Linked DNA regions of Canis lupus familiaris. The protein of the gene in region 3 interacts with the protein of the main gene of each other region in a pairwise test. Links are inferred from orthologs where the notes say so. Each region holds a gene or a part of one and is shown on either strand. Other genes may lie near its edges.

Region 1 (4,030 bases), on a different chromosome or scaffold from region 3:
GCCCGCGCGCGGCCACTCGGAGGCGCCCGGCCCGGCCCGGCCCGGCCCCGCCTCCGCGGCGCCCCCGGCCCGACCGGCCCCCGTCCGGCCCGAGTGGGCGGCGCAGCGCGGGGGAGGGGTCCGAGGGGCGTCCCCGCCCCGGCGCGGACACGCGCAGCACCCCGCGTCACGCGGGGCCGCGCCGCGGGCCTCGGGACCCCCCACGCCCGGTGGGCTCGGGGACTCGGCGGCGGCGGCGGGTCACCCTCCACCCCTACCCGGGCCCCGGGGCCAGCGGCAGCTGGTCATTGTTCCAGCACAAAGGGCCCGGCGCCACGGCGGCCGCCCTTCCCCCTCCGCTCCTCCGGTCGAAGCCTCCCCCGCAAGACACACTCCGGCTTCGGAGTCCCGAGCGGGGCGCGGAGGGCCGGCCCCCCCACCCGCCCCGGCCGCCGGGCCCCTGCTCCCCAGGGCCGGGTCGCGGACCCGGGCTCGGGCCGTGCCTGCCCCACCCCCAGCGGTGGAGGGAGGCAGATTCGGATTTGCGGAGGCGGCGCCACCAGGCGGCGCGTTCGCAGGATACACCGCCACCCCAGCAACTTTGGGGGCCCCTACCGGACTGCCCAGCACTGTAGCCTGCCCCCCGCGAGCCCAGGCCTGCCTCGCGCGCGGCCGTCTGCTCCCCAACCTTCCCTGAGAATCATTTGCTAAGAGAGGTCACTGCTGGGAGAGAGGCAGCCCCTGGCCCCCTGACAATCACTGGGGTGAGGCGGTCCAAACCTACAGTCAGAACCTACACCAGTCCCACAGCTGACAACATCCCTCGGTCTTCTCAGGGTCACAGAGAGTCTCACCCTCTCGCAAACAACACAATCTTCCTAACACCCACACGACTTTTCCCACATTCGGTCCCACGCAGCCACAATCACAGTCTCCTCCATCACGTGATTCCAGGTTCCTTCCTTCCATAATCTTTCAGGCCAACTTACACACAGACACACTGGGTGTCACACACCTTGTGCACAATCTTTCACAAGGACTCAGAGTCCTTCCTACCGAGTCACAATCTTAAATGGGCTTCCTCTCCTAAACATCTTTAACACATTGGTGGTCTCATTCAGTCAGACAACTTACACATACCCATGGTGTTTCACGAGCATTTTTTACCACAAAGACTTTTTTCCCCCCTGAGGGGTCTCTGGTCAGGTCAGCTGATGCCCACACCCCCAGCCAAGGACAGGCCTCCCACCCCCTACTTGCATCCCCACCCCCAAGGCCAAGGCCTGCCAGAGCTCCTCTGCCCCAGGAAGGAGCATCCCCCCCTTCCAGGCCACAGCCCTGGCCAGCTCTCAGCTCTATTTTTAGCTCTATGGAAAGGGTTGTTTTTCTTTCTTTTTCCCTGGAAAGGGAGGCATAGCCCAACCACCCTCAGGCTCACCCCAGACCCTGAGCCACATAAGAATAGACTGAGCCCCCCTCCCCAGTAGAGACCCCCTCCTCTGGCCTTGCCCTGATCCCAGCCTCTTGGGGCACCAGGAGCCTCCTCCCCTTTCTGGCAGCCAGCCCGGAAGCTCAGGCAGCAGCTGGGCTCAGCGTGTGTGTAGGGGTGGAGGGTGGGGCAGAGAGGGAGGCGAGGGCCGCTGCCCACTCCCTCATTCCCTGGGGGAGGGGGCTCATCCTCCCTTCTAGGGGAGGGGGATAGGCCCACTCCCGTACTTCGAGGACATTTACCTTTATGCATTCTCTGGGAAAGGAGGACTCCCACTCTCGCACGAGTGGGTTTTCGGCTCCTACAGTTGAAGGGAGGAGCTCCCAGTTCTGCAAGGAGGGGTGGTGGTAGGAAAGGGACCCACCGGCTCTCAGGCAGCTGCTCCCCAGACTGGAGGTATGGGGCCGGAGCTGCCGTATACTGCCACCCGAAATAGCGCCCTCCTCCGATACCTTCCGGGATGAGGGCCCCACGAACGTGTTCGTTCGGGTGAAGGAAGGCAAGGAGCCCAGGTAACCCCACCGAGCCCAAGAGTCTCCAGGCCTGCGCTACCCGGACTCCAGGGGGCGTTGTGCTCCCATTTCAGGGGGAAGGCTTAACATTTCTTGAGGCGGAGAATGGAATACGGCCCGACAGGAGACCTCGGAGACTCGCCCAGGGTTGGGGAGGGAGGTCCTCGCCCTGATGCGGGGGCGAGGGAAGCACAGCCCACTCGTCTGCGAAGCGATCACGTGCTCGGCGCCTGTTTACGTCTTAGTCTTCACCTGTGGGCGGCCAGGAAGCAGGAACCTCCGGAGGTGTCCCACCCGGCCCGCCCCCGTCGGCGGTCACCGGGCAGCCCCTTCTCCCACCCCTGCCAAGTACGGGACAGCAGAGCACCCTGTCAGCTGGGGCTCCGTGCGGGCCAGTGGCGCCGCTCCAGGGACTGCAAGGGTAACCCACTGGGCGCGTCCTCTCCTGAGTGCACGTGTGTCCTATGTGCGTGGGTCTCGGCGCGCGCGCGTGTGCACCCACTGGCGTGAGTTTCCGTGTCGGTTCCCTGTTCAGGCTCCTCGCCTGCGGGCCCCCCGGACCCCAGTGTGGGACCCTCTCCTCACTCCACCCCCTAGCTTCCCCAGACCGGGAAAGTTCGCTCCCGACCCGGCATGTGCGGGAGGCCGGAGTGCCCACACCTCCGCGGCCCCACCACTCACCCAGGCCACCTGCGCCGCCGCTGCCGCTGCCGCTGCCGCTCCCGCCCAGCTCCTGCCCGAGCGCCGGCACCTCTCCGCCGCAGATCTGCCGGCTCCCAGCCAGCTCCGGGCTCCGGACTCCCGGCGCCCGCCGGGCCCGGCCTGGTGGAACGGGGCGGGGCGGGGCGGCTGAGGCCGCGCCCCCGACCCAGGGAGGGGAGTGGTCTGCCCAGCACCCCCTCTACGGCGGACCCGGTACCCAGCCCAGCAGTAGCTCGGTGGTGGCCAGGTTGCCCCTCTGGCCTCCGACTTCACAGCTTTCTGGATTTGGTTTTCGACTTGGGGAAAGGGGCGAACAGCACGTGACCGGGAGCTAAACTACCTGGCCGGCCTAACCAAGTTGACGATAGGACTTTACTGCCACCTGCCCTACCCTGTAAGGAGCCAAACCGGGTCGGCTCTCAGCTCATTCCCCAGGAACAAGGAAAACCCCTAGGAAGCAGACAAAGAAGGCTCGGGTTTCACTAAAACAGACCCCGCCCCACCCTCTGGTCGGAATTGCCCTAGCAGAGCCAGCCCCTTCCCCCCTCCCCGCAGTAGGTGCCTACCCAGGTGAGCATACTTGCCAGTTCTGGCCCCCCACAGAGCATGGCCAGGCTTCCCTTACACTCATAAAGTTCCACCCACAGGCACAAACAGGAAGTTGCCCTGTATTGCAGGAAGGCACCTAGGGCTCCATCTGTGGCACCCGAGGCAGCCTGTGGGAAGGCACAGACTGTCATCTACAGGTATCTGAGCCTTACTTGCAGCAAGAGTATCTGCACAGGAGGAGTCCAGTGAATTTAATCTCTTCTCCAACTCACCTGCAGTAAAGAAGCGACTGGAAAGCTGAAAAAACGACACTAAATCTGAAGACACGGCTGAAGATCCAGCTGGACCCAGCTGGGCCAGGCCCTTCCTAAACTCTCAGGGTGATTAATATCCGATTGGAAAAAGAGCCCGGGTAATTTGCCTCAATCCACTCTGGTTGGGTACAGGGACAGTGGCTACCAGGGACCTTATTCCGGACCCAGGGATCCCCTACTGCTTTCTAGGCTCCAGGGACTTCTAGACATACTTTTGGCTAATCTTGATGTGAGTTTAAGACAGGTGTGCAATGGAATGTGTGTGTACGGGGTGGGGTTGGGGGAGTGTCAATTTCCCCTCTCCCATCATTCGGATTTGTGCTTTGTGTGTGTGTGTGTGGGGGGGGGATGTCTGCTAGGAGGGTGGAGCAAGACAGGCAAGTGCGTATCTATCCTTCTATCCCCAATTCACAGAGACCTCACAAAAGTCCCCTAATGGAAATAGCTAAAGGATTTTCTGAGAACACACCAGGCCTTCCAGTAGA
Region 2 (3,538 bases), on a different chromosome or scaffold from region 3:
ATTGAAAATATAAAATCCATAGAAAAATCTGGTTTTCAGAAGATCAAAGTGACAAATCTAGCCAGAATGACCCGGTAAAAAAGAGCAAAGACACAAATCAACAATATTAGTAATGGAAGAGAAACCATCACTCCAGATCTTACAGATATTGAAAAGATAATAAATACCGTATAACAAAATACTATACTATAAAGAAACTTTATACCAATAAATTGAGCAAGTTAGATGAAATAGACATATGTCTTAAAAGACTCACAAACTACCAAAACTCAAGAAATAAATAGACAACCCGAATAGTGCTGTATCTGTAAAATTCAACTGGTTGTAAAAATCTTCCCTCAAAGAACAATCCCAGGTCCAGGTGGATTTGTTGGCGAATTATACCAAACTGATTGTGCTGAAAGTATTCCAGAAAATTGAAGACGAGAGGACTCTTTCCAACTCCTTATATGAACCCAACATTACTCAGATACCAAAGCCAGACAGATATATAAAAATACTATAGTTGAGTAGTTCTTGTGAACACAGATGTAAAAATTCTTAAAACTTGAACAAATAGAATTTAACAGTACACCGAAGAGAAGGACAGTGCATTGTTACTCAAGTGGGGTTTATTCCAGAAATGCAGTGTTGATTTAACAGGCAAAAATGAATCAACAGAGTTCACCGTTATTAACAGACTAATGTGGGAAAATCACAATCTCAGTAGATGAAGAAAAAAAGGATTTGAGAAAATTTAACATACTGTTGAAAACTTTACAGATGGACTAGCAGGAACTTTGTTAACATGATAAAGGGCATCTGCAGTGAAACCCTGCAACTAACAGTGTGCTTCATGGTGAAGGACTATATGCTGCTGGCACGGCCCTGAATGTGCTAGGCTGTGAGGTCCGGCCTGAAAAAGAAATGAGAGGCATCAGAAAGGAAGCAACAAAACAGTCTTTAGTAGCAAATGACATGATAGTGTAGGAAGGCCTATGGAATTTACAAAAGAACACCCAGATCAGTGAGTTTAACATATTCCCAGGGTATAACATAAATACAGAAAAATCTTGATCCTATTTTTGTAGAGGAAAAGGTTACATCACTGAGAAAAAGACCAGAAGAATGTGGTTCTCTACGGGAGACCACATTTAAATGTACACCCCTCTTCCAATCTGCAGTTTCTGACTTCTCTGCAAGTGTTTACTTTTGTGGTAATGACAGCAATAAAAGTCTTTTTTTTTTTTTTTTTTTAGAAAAATAGTTTTCAGCCACGCTATATAAATGTGATGTAGTTTAGCAGTTTTAGGTAAATGTCATGACTTCAGCCTTTTATACTGAAAACGTATGGGACATTACATTCATCTTATGTTTCTTATCCTGTCCTACTATGGTAGGTTGTTACCTCGGCCGCGCTTTACCTGCTAGTATAAGGAAGGCATTGTGATCGTAATCATTACTCATTTTTCTCATGTATTTATTGTGAGTCTCCTCTGTACCAGGGATTGGGGAATGCAGAGATGAGGAAGACCCATGGCCTCTGGAGGCTTCTGTCCTCTCTGTCCTCACCTCTTTGTTGTTTTCTCTCTAGGCTGGTTGTATTTAAGCTTTTAGTTCCTGGAACTTGGAAAGTGGCTCTCACACATGCCATTTCTTTTGTCAGGGATACTTTCTTACCCTACCCCCACATAACTCCATACTCTTTATTTAGTTCTTACTTTAAGTGTCATTCCTCAGGGGAGCTTTCCCTGATCTGTCCAACAGGGTTATAGAGTCTACTAACACCTTGTACTTTTCCTTCCCAGAATTTATCACTGTTGTATTTGCTACTTTTTGAGTACTCACCAGACTGAAATTGTGTTGCATGGTAATATTTTTGTCACAAATATATTCTGAGTTGTTCTGCGGAGCTGGGCTTCGGTATGGATTGAGCTTGTAAGTCTCAGTTCATTTTATGACAAAGCAGCTTGGCCCGTGGCTGGATTAGCAGCACAGTCTGTGGCCAAGGATTAGATGGAGCAGACCTGATTTTTAATTCTGTACCTCAAATACAACTCTTGGAATTTCAGGTAACGCAGGAAGAAGGACAGCAGTTAGCACGACAACTTAAGGTAACATACATGGAGGCGTCAGCCAAGATTAGGATGAATGTAGATCAAGCTTTCCACGAACTTGTCCGGGTTATAAGGTAAGTGAAACAGATCTTAGCAATTTGTTTTGGGGTGCTTGGTGGCTCAGTTGGTTAAGCTTCTGCCTTCAGCTCAGGTCATGATCTCAGGGTCCTGGGATTGAGCCCTGGGTCTGGCTCCCTGCCCAGCAGGGTGTCTGCTTCTCCCTCTCTGCATGCGCGCGCGCTCTCTCTCTCTCTCTCTCTCTCTCTCAAATAAAGTCTTTCGCAAAATGAAAAGAAGTTTGTTCTAATTTATTGAATTTGACAGGTAGTCACACTATGCTTTTTAAAACTGTTAGCTGAGAAAGAAATTACCATTGAATATTTTTAATAAGAGAGGAGACTATATGTAGAAGTGCTTCTGTGCTAGGAGTTAATGCCCATGATGTGTATTAAAATTTTTAATTAAGACACACTGTATACTACGTACTTCCTACGTATAAAGCTGAATTTAATTATATTGAAGTAAAAAGTACACATAGGGATTTTGAGAAGAAACTATCCTGCTTTCAAAGATGTCAAGTGGCATGAAGATAGGGATGGCAGTAGCTAACATATGAATGGAAATTTCTGCCAGATACTGTACCTAGTACTTCACATGCCATATTACATTGAATTCTCACCACAGTCCAAAAGCTAAATACTATCATTTATCTCCACTTTTGGATAAGAAAGAAGGTACGCAAAGGTGAGTTAACTTGCTCAGAGTTTTGGCTTTAAATGGCCCAAAGGTGTGGGACTCAAATCATATCTCTGATTCTACAGCCTGTGCTCTTCAGCTTCGCTTCTTACCCATCTCCTCGCAGGCTGAGGTAGTAGAGAGTTGGACCTCCCATTCAAGGGGTGAAGTATGATAGCTCAGATAACAAAGGGTTTTTCTGCTTGTTGGTCTAGAAGGCCCTGGCGGTTCAGAAAGTGTTAATGGTTCCAGGAAGCTTGAGGTGATGGGTGAGGTTACCTGGAGTTAGTTTCTGTGTGAGAAAGATTGAGTTGCTTTATATAGTGGGAGGGGTTTGATTTGATTATTTTTAGTCTTGGTGGCTTGGCCTCTACTTGACCCTGGGCTTTTCTAGATCTGCTGGTCTCTCTGTCTGACAGGTATGTGGATAGGGCTGGTGTTAATTATGTATCTAAGACGAATCAACATCTGAGCTATGGGCTTCCTGTGCTTTTTTAGCCCCTTGCCTGGGCATTCTCTTGTGGGGAAAGAAAAGTAAGGATTATAGTTTTTTTATTTCTTAGTAGTTTGTTAAAAGTACTGAGTTCCATTTTTAAATGAATACAGAGTTTCAGTTTTACAAGATGAAAAGAGTTCTGGAGGTGGATGGTTGTACCACATTGCGAATATATTTAATACTACTGAACTGTATGCTTAAAATGGTTAAG
Region 3 (4,145 bases):
TGGCCCCAGTTAGAATGGTTTGGGTTTGAGGGCACTTTGGGGGTTTGGGGAAACGGAGCCGGGGTGGGGCTAGGGGATGAAGCTCCCTGCAACCAGGACTAGTCAGGGAGGGCTGGAATGCTAGGCCCCAGCAGCGGGGTGGCCCTGGTGAGCCCAGGGGTGAGGGCTGTAGAGCTGCCCTGGGCCAGACCAAGGCTGTTCCTCTCAGCACCCCATAGGCACTGGTGTTCCCCTCTTGGTTCAGCTTCTTACTTGCGGTGCTTTTTCCCCTTCTGGTGTCCCTCTAGGACCATGACCCTGCTCTTCAGAGCCAAGGGCCCCCTTGGAGCAGCTGGCAGCAAACCCAGGATTTGCGTTTTCCTGCTGTAGGAAGGCAGATTGACAAGCCCCTCGGGGTCTGTCCGGCCAGCTTCCCAGTGCTGCTGCATGGCCTTCCCCTCCAGCTATCACTGGTCTGGACTCCTCTGCCCTCCTCGGGGCCTGCACACTGTGTGGCCCAGAGCTGCCTTAACCAGACAAGACTGTCTTCCCTGTCCCCAGTGAGCCCACCCCCCCACCCCCACGAGATCAGCCTTCTCCTCACCATCCCAGACAAAGAAGATGTGGCTCCTCTTAAGCCAAAGCAACATTCTTCCTGCTGACCTTGGACTAGTCACTGAGCTAGTGAGCTGGGCCCCACTTCCTGGGAACTTTGAACCAGAAATTATATTTTGGGGGGGCCTGTCTCTCCTGGCCGTTGTTGGAGATGAGAAGGCAGGCTCCCCAGGTCTTCTCAAGGAGGTTCTTGATGTCTCCCAGATTTCAGGGACTGGAATTAAAACCTTCCCTGGGACCCTAGCATGACCTGTGTGTGTCTGATTTACTTTGCGAGGGAATCAGGGCTCCCCTGGGGAGTGCCTGAGTCAGGTGGGCTCTCCTGGAGTCCCTGGTACCTCCTCTCTCTACCTGGCAGGAGCCCACCTACTCTGAGTTGGGGTATGGGGGGGGCCCTCCCAGCACACCTCCCAGAGGTGGGGGAGTGAGCAAAGTCTGAAGCAACATGTGGCACAGGCCGATCATGTGTCGGGGGTGGGGAGGGTTGTGTGCTCTGTGCTTGGAGCCTGGGTCATGTCTGCACCTGCCCCAGTCACTTGGCAGATTGGTAAGGCAGGCTGGCGGGGCCTGGGAGTGTAGGAGGCAGCTGGCAGCAGCACCATGTGCTGACGACCTCACAACCAAACTCCCCCACCCCCATCCCATTTAGCGCCAAGTGTTAGAACCACCCCCAGAACCTCAGTTAAGCAAAGGGGTTAGTTTCCAAGGAGACACAGCATCCTTTCTCCATGGCAACCGAAAATCCAAAACCCAAGTTAGGCTCGAGAATGAGTCATCTGTGACCAGTAGGGGGTGCCCTCCCACTGGGCTGACGGGGGGCGGGGAGGGCACACAAATGAGCAGTTGACCACAAACTTAATTAAAGGTGCCCCATGGGCAAACTTGGGCCTGTGGGACCCAGATGGGCCCAGCTTAACCCCTTCCCGCCTGCTCGTGTGCCTCGAGGAGGCTGGCGAGGCTTCAGGATGCGCTGTGTGGAGGTGGCAGCCCCACAGCCGGGGCTCGTGGAGTGGCACTGCACGGAGAGGACCCTTGCTCCCTGAGGCTGGGCCTGAACACGGAGGAAGCGGGCACTGCCCGGGCTAAGGGGACACACAAGAGTTAACTGGCGGGGCGTGACAGGGCGAACCGCCCTCAGGAAGTGTTACTCACTGCTGGGAATGTGAGCGCTCTTGCCTTGGGGGCTGGATTCTCTTCCTGAGTCCTGGGAGAAACCGGGAGAAACCAAAGGAGCTCCCAGCCATGGAAACCCCTGGGGAGCCAGGGGCTGGACCTCTTGGAGCCCCCAGCCTCTCCAACTTCACACCTGGGCACCCGGAGAGAGAAAAGTTAGTGAAGTTGGAAGGGCAGCCCCGTGGGACAGGGAGGGATGGCAGAGCAGGGTCTGTCCCAGGGCAGAGGTGGGGGGAAAGGGTTGGGCAAGGGTCCCACCCCCTGGGCCCCTGCTCAGATCTGGTGCCCGCCCTTTAGGCCAGCCCAGGACCCACTGTATGACGTGCCCGGGGCCGGTGGGTGGCAGACAGTTGGGCCCCAGCGGCCCGGGCGCACCGTGAGCCTGCGGGAGCGCTTGCTGCTCACGCGGCCCGTGTGGCTGCAGCTGCGGGCCAGCGCGGCGGCTGCTCTGCATGTGCTGAGGACCGAGCCCCCGGGGGTGAGTCTGGCCCCTGATCCTGGGACTAGCCGACGGAGGCGGGGCGGCGGGGGGGGGGAAGGCTGGACACCGAGGTCCCGAGCCTCCGACCCCTGTCCCTTGCAGATGTTCCTTGTGCGGAAATCTAACACTCGCGGGTGCCAGGCCCTGTGCGTGCGGCTGCCCGAGGCCAGTGGCCCCTCCTTTGTCTCTAGCCACTACATCCAGGAGAGCCCTGGGGGTGAGCAGGACTGGCCTGGGGGGAAGGGGCTGGAAGCAGTCCGGGCCGGGCACAGGGGTGTTTTCTGGAGAACAACCGCACTTCCCGTCCCTCAGGCGTCTCCTTGGAGGGCTCAGAACTCATGTTCCCAGACCTGGTCCAGCTCATCTGCGCCTACTGCCATACCCGGTAAGCCTGGCTGCAGGGTGCCTGGTGTCCGTTGGTCCCAGGTCCCTGGGACATCCTGTCCTCCCAACCTCTGCAGGTTCTGTCAGCCCCCAGTGCCCTGAGCATCCCTCACCCCTGGCTTTCTGTTTCTCTCTCTGGCCTCAGAGACATCCTCCTCCTCCCACTGCAGCTCCCCAGAGCCATCTGCCAGGCAGCCACCCACAAGGAACTGGAAGCCATCTCCCATCTGGGCATTGGTAAGGGCTCTTCTGCTACCCATTGCACAGATGGACAAGCCGAGGCCAAGAAGGAAAGGAAGGCACGTGGATGCAAGGCCTGAGTCAGTGCCTTTCCCTCATTTGGGCACAACTCCCCAAACCTCCCCGAGGCCCCAATTGGTTTCTCTTCCCTAGAGTTCTGGAGCTCCTCCCTCAACACCAGGGCTCAGCAGGGCCCATCTGAAGACCAGCTGCTGCCCCGGCTGAAGCCCCGGCCCCCACAAGAGCTGGACCAGGGTACGGGAGCCGCCCTGTGCTTCTTCAATCCCCTGTTCCCAGGGGACCTGGGCCCCACCAAGCGGGAGAAATTCAAGAGGAGCTTCAAAGTGCGTGTGTCCACGGAGACCTCTAGCCCTCTGTCTCCACCCGCTGTGCCACCTCCCCCGGTCCCCATTCTGCCAGGTGCAGCCCCCAGCGAGACAGACAGGTTACCCCCTCGCCAGCTTCTGCGAAGGGAGAGCTCAGTGGGGTACTGTGTGCCAGGGGGCGCCAGCCCCAGCCTCCCACCCCTACCCTCCCTCCGGGAGGTAGACTGCGGCTCCCCCAGCAGCTCGGAAGAGGAGGGGGCGCCCAGGGCCCACGGAAGCCCAGCAACCTCACCCCGCCTGGGCCACCGGAGGCCCCTGCTGCGGTCCATGAGCGCGGCCTTCTGCTCCCTGCTGGCGCCTGAGCGGCAGGTGGGCCGGGTGGCCACAGCTCTGATGCAGGACCGACAGACGGCTGTGGGCCAGCTGGTGCAGGACCTCCTGACCCAGGTGCGGGCTGGCCCTGAGCCCCGGGAGCTGCAGGATGTCCGAGAGGCGCTGAGCCGGGCTCGGGCCATGCTGAGCACAGAGCTGGGCCCTGAGAAGCTGCTGCCGCCCGAGAGACTGGGTGAGACCCTGGCCCCGGGCTCCACGGGCTCAGCCCCAGAGTCTGTAATTCCAGCTCTTCGCGCTCCCCACCTCTCTCCCACTATTCTCCCGTCTCACCCAGAGATTCCTCCTCCTTTTCATCTCTCTCCCCCTCTGGCTGCACCCCCCTCCCGGGGACGCTGGCCCCCACTTGCGCCCTGCTCCCCTTGACCCTGCCCGCCTCTCCTCCTCAGAGCACATCTTGGAGAAGTCGCTGCACCGCTCCGTGCTCAAACCTCTCCGGCCCATCCTGGCCTCCCGCCTGCGCCACCGGCTTTCTGCCAATGGCTCCCTGGGCCGCCTGGCTGAAGGCCTCCGCCTGGCCCGGGCCCAGGGCCCTGGAGCCTTCGGGTCCCATGTGA

The links.
Region 1: the proteins of RIN1 (region 3) and LZTS2 interact in binary tests that used the Homo sapiens proteins (3 or more experiments, as listed by UniProt). The two-hybrid records come from large-scale screens. The link is inferred for Canis lupus familiaris from reciprocal best matches to the Homo sapiens genes RIN1 and LZTS2.
Region 2: the proteins of RIN1 (region 3) and RRAS2 interact in binary tests that used the Homo sapiens proteins (3 or more experiments, as listed by UniProt). The link is inferred for Canis lupus familiaris from reciprocal best matches to the Homo sapiens genes RIN1 and RRAS2.

Annotation. Positions count from the first base shown.
Region 1 is NC_049249.1:13,868,910-13,872,939, reverse strand, and holds the start of LZTS2 (leucine zipper putative tumor suppressor 2), read right to left. Parts: upstream 2,819-4,030; 5' UTR 2,662-2,818; intron 2,233-2,661; exon of another isoform or gene 1,711-2,232; intron 615-1,710; coding exon of another isoform or gene 1-614. Other genes in the region: proline-rich protein HaeIII subfamily 1-like, read left to right, coding at 1-614. UniProt on the Homo sapiens protein: Negative regulator of katanin-mediated microtubule severing and release from the centrosome. Required for central spindle formation and the completion of cytokinesis.
Region 2 is NC_049242.1:37,646,645-37,650,182, reverse strand, and holds part of RRAS2 (ras-related protein R-Ras2), read left to right. Parts: intron 1-2,051; coding exon 2,052-2,170; intron 2,171-3,538. UniProt on the Homo sapiens protein: GTP-binding protein with GTPase activity, involved in the regulation of MAPK signaling pathway and thereby controlling multiple cellular processes. Regulates craniofacial development.
Region 3 is NC_049239.1:51,476,912-51,481,056, forward strand, and holds the start of RIN1 (ras and Rab interactor 1), read left to right. Parts: upstream 1-1,328; 5' UTR 1,329-1,836; coding exon 1,837-1,922; intron 1,923-2,064; coding exon 2,065-2,245; intron 2,246-2,350; coding exon 2,351-2,465; intron 2,466-2,560; coding exon 2,561-2,633; intron 2,634-2,777; coding exon 2,778-2,869; intron 2,870-3,025; coding exon 3,026-3,763; intron 3,764-3,977; coding exon 3,978-4,145. Other genes in the region: BRMS1 (breast cancer metastasis-suppressor 1), read left to right, coding at 288-295. UniProt on the Homo sapiens protein: Ras effector protein, which may serve as an inhibitory modulator of neuronal plasticity in aversive memory formation. Can affect Ras signaling at different levels. First, by competing with RAF1 protein for binding to activated Ras.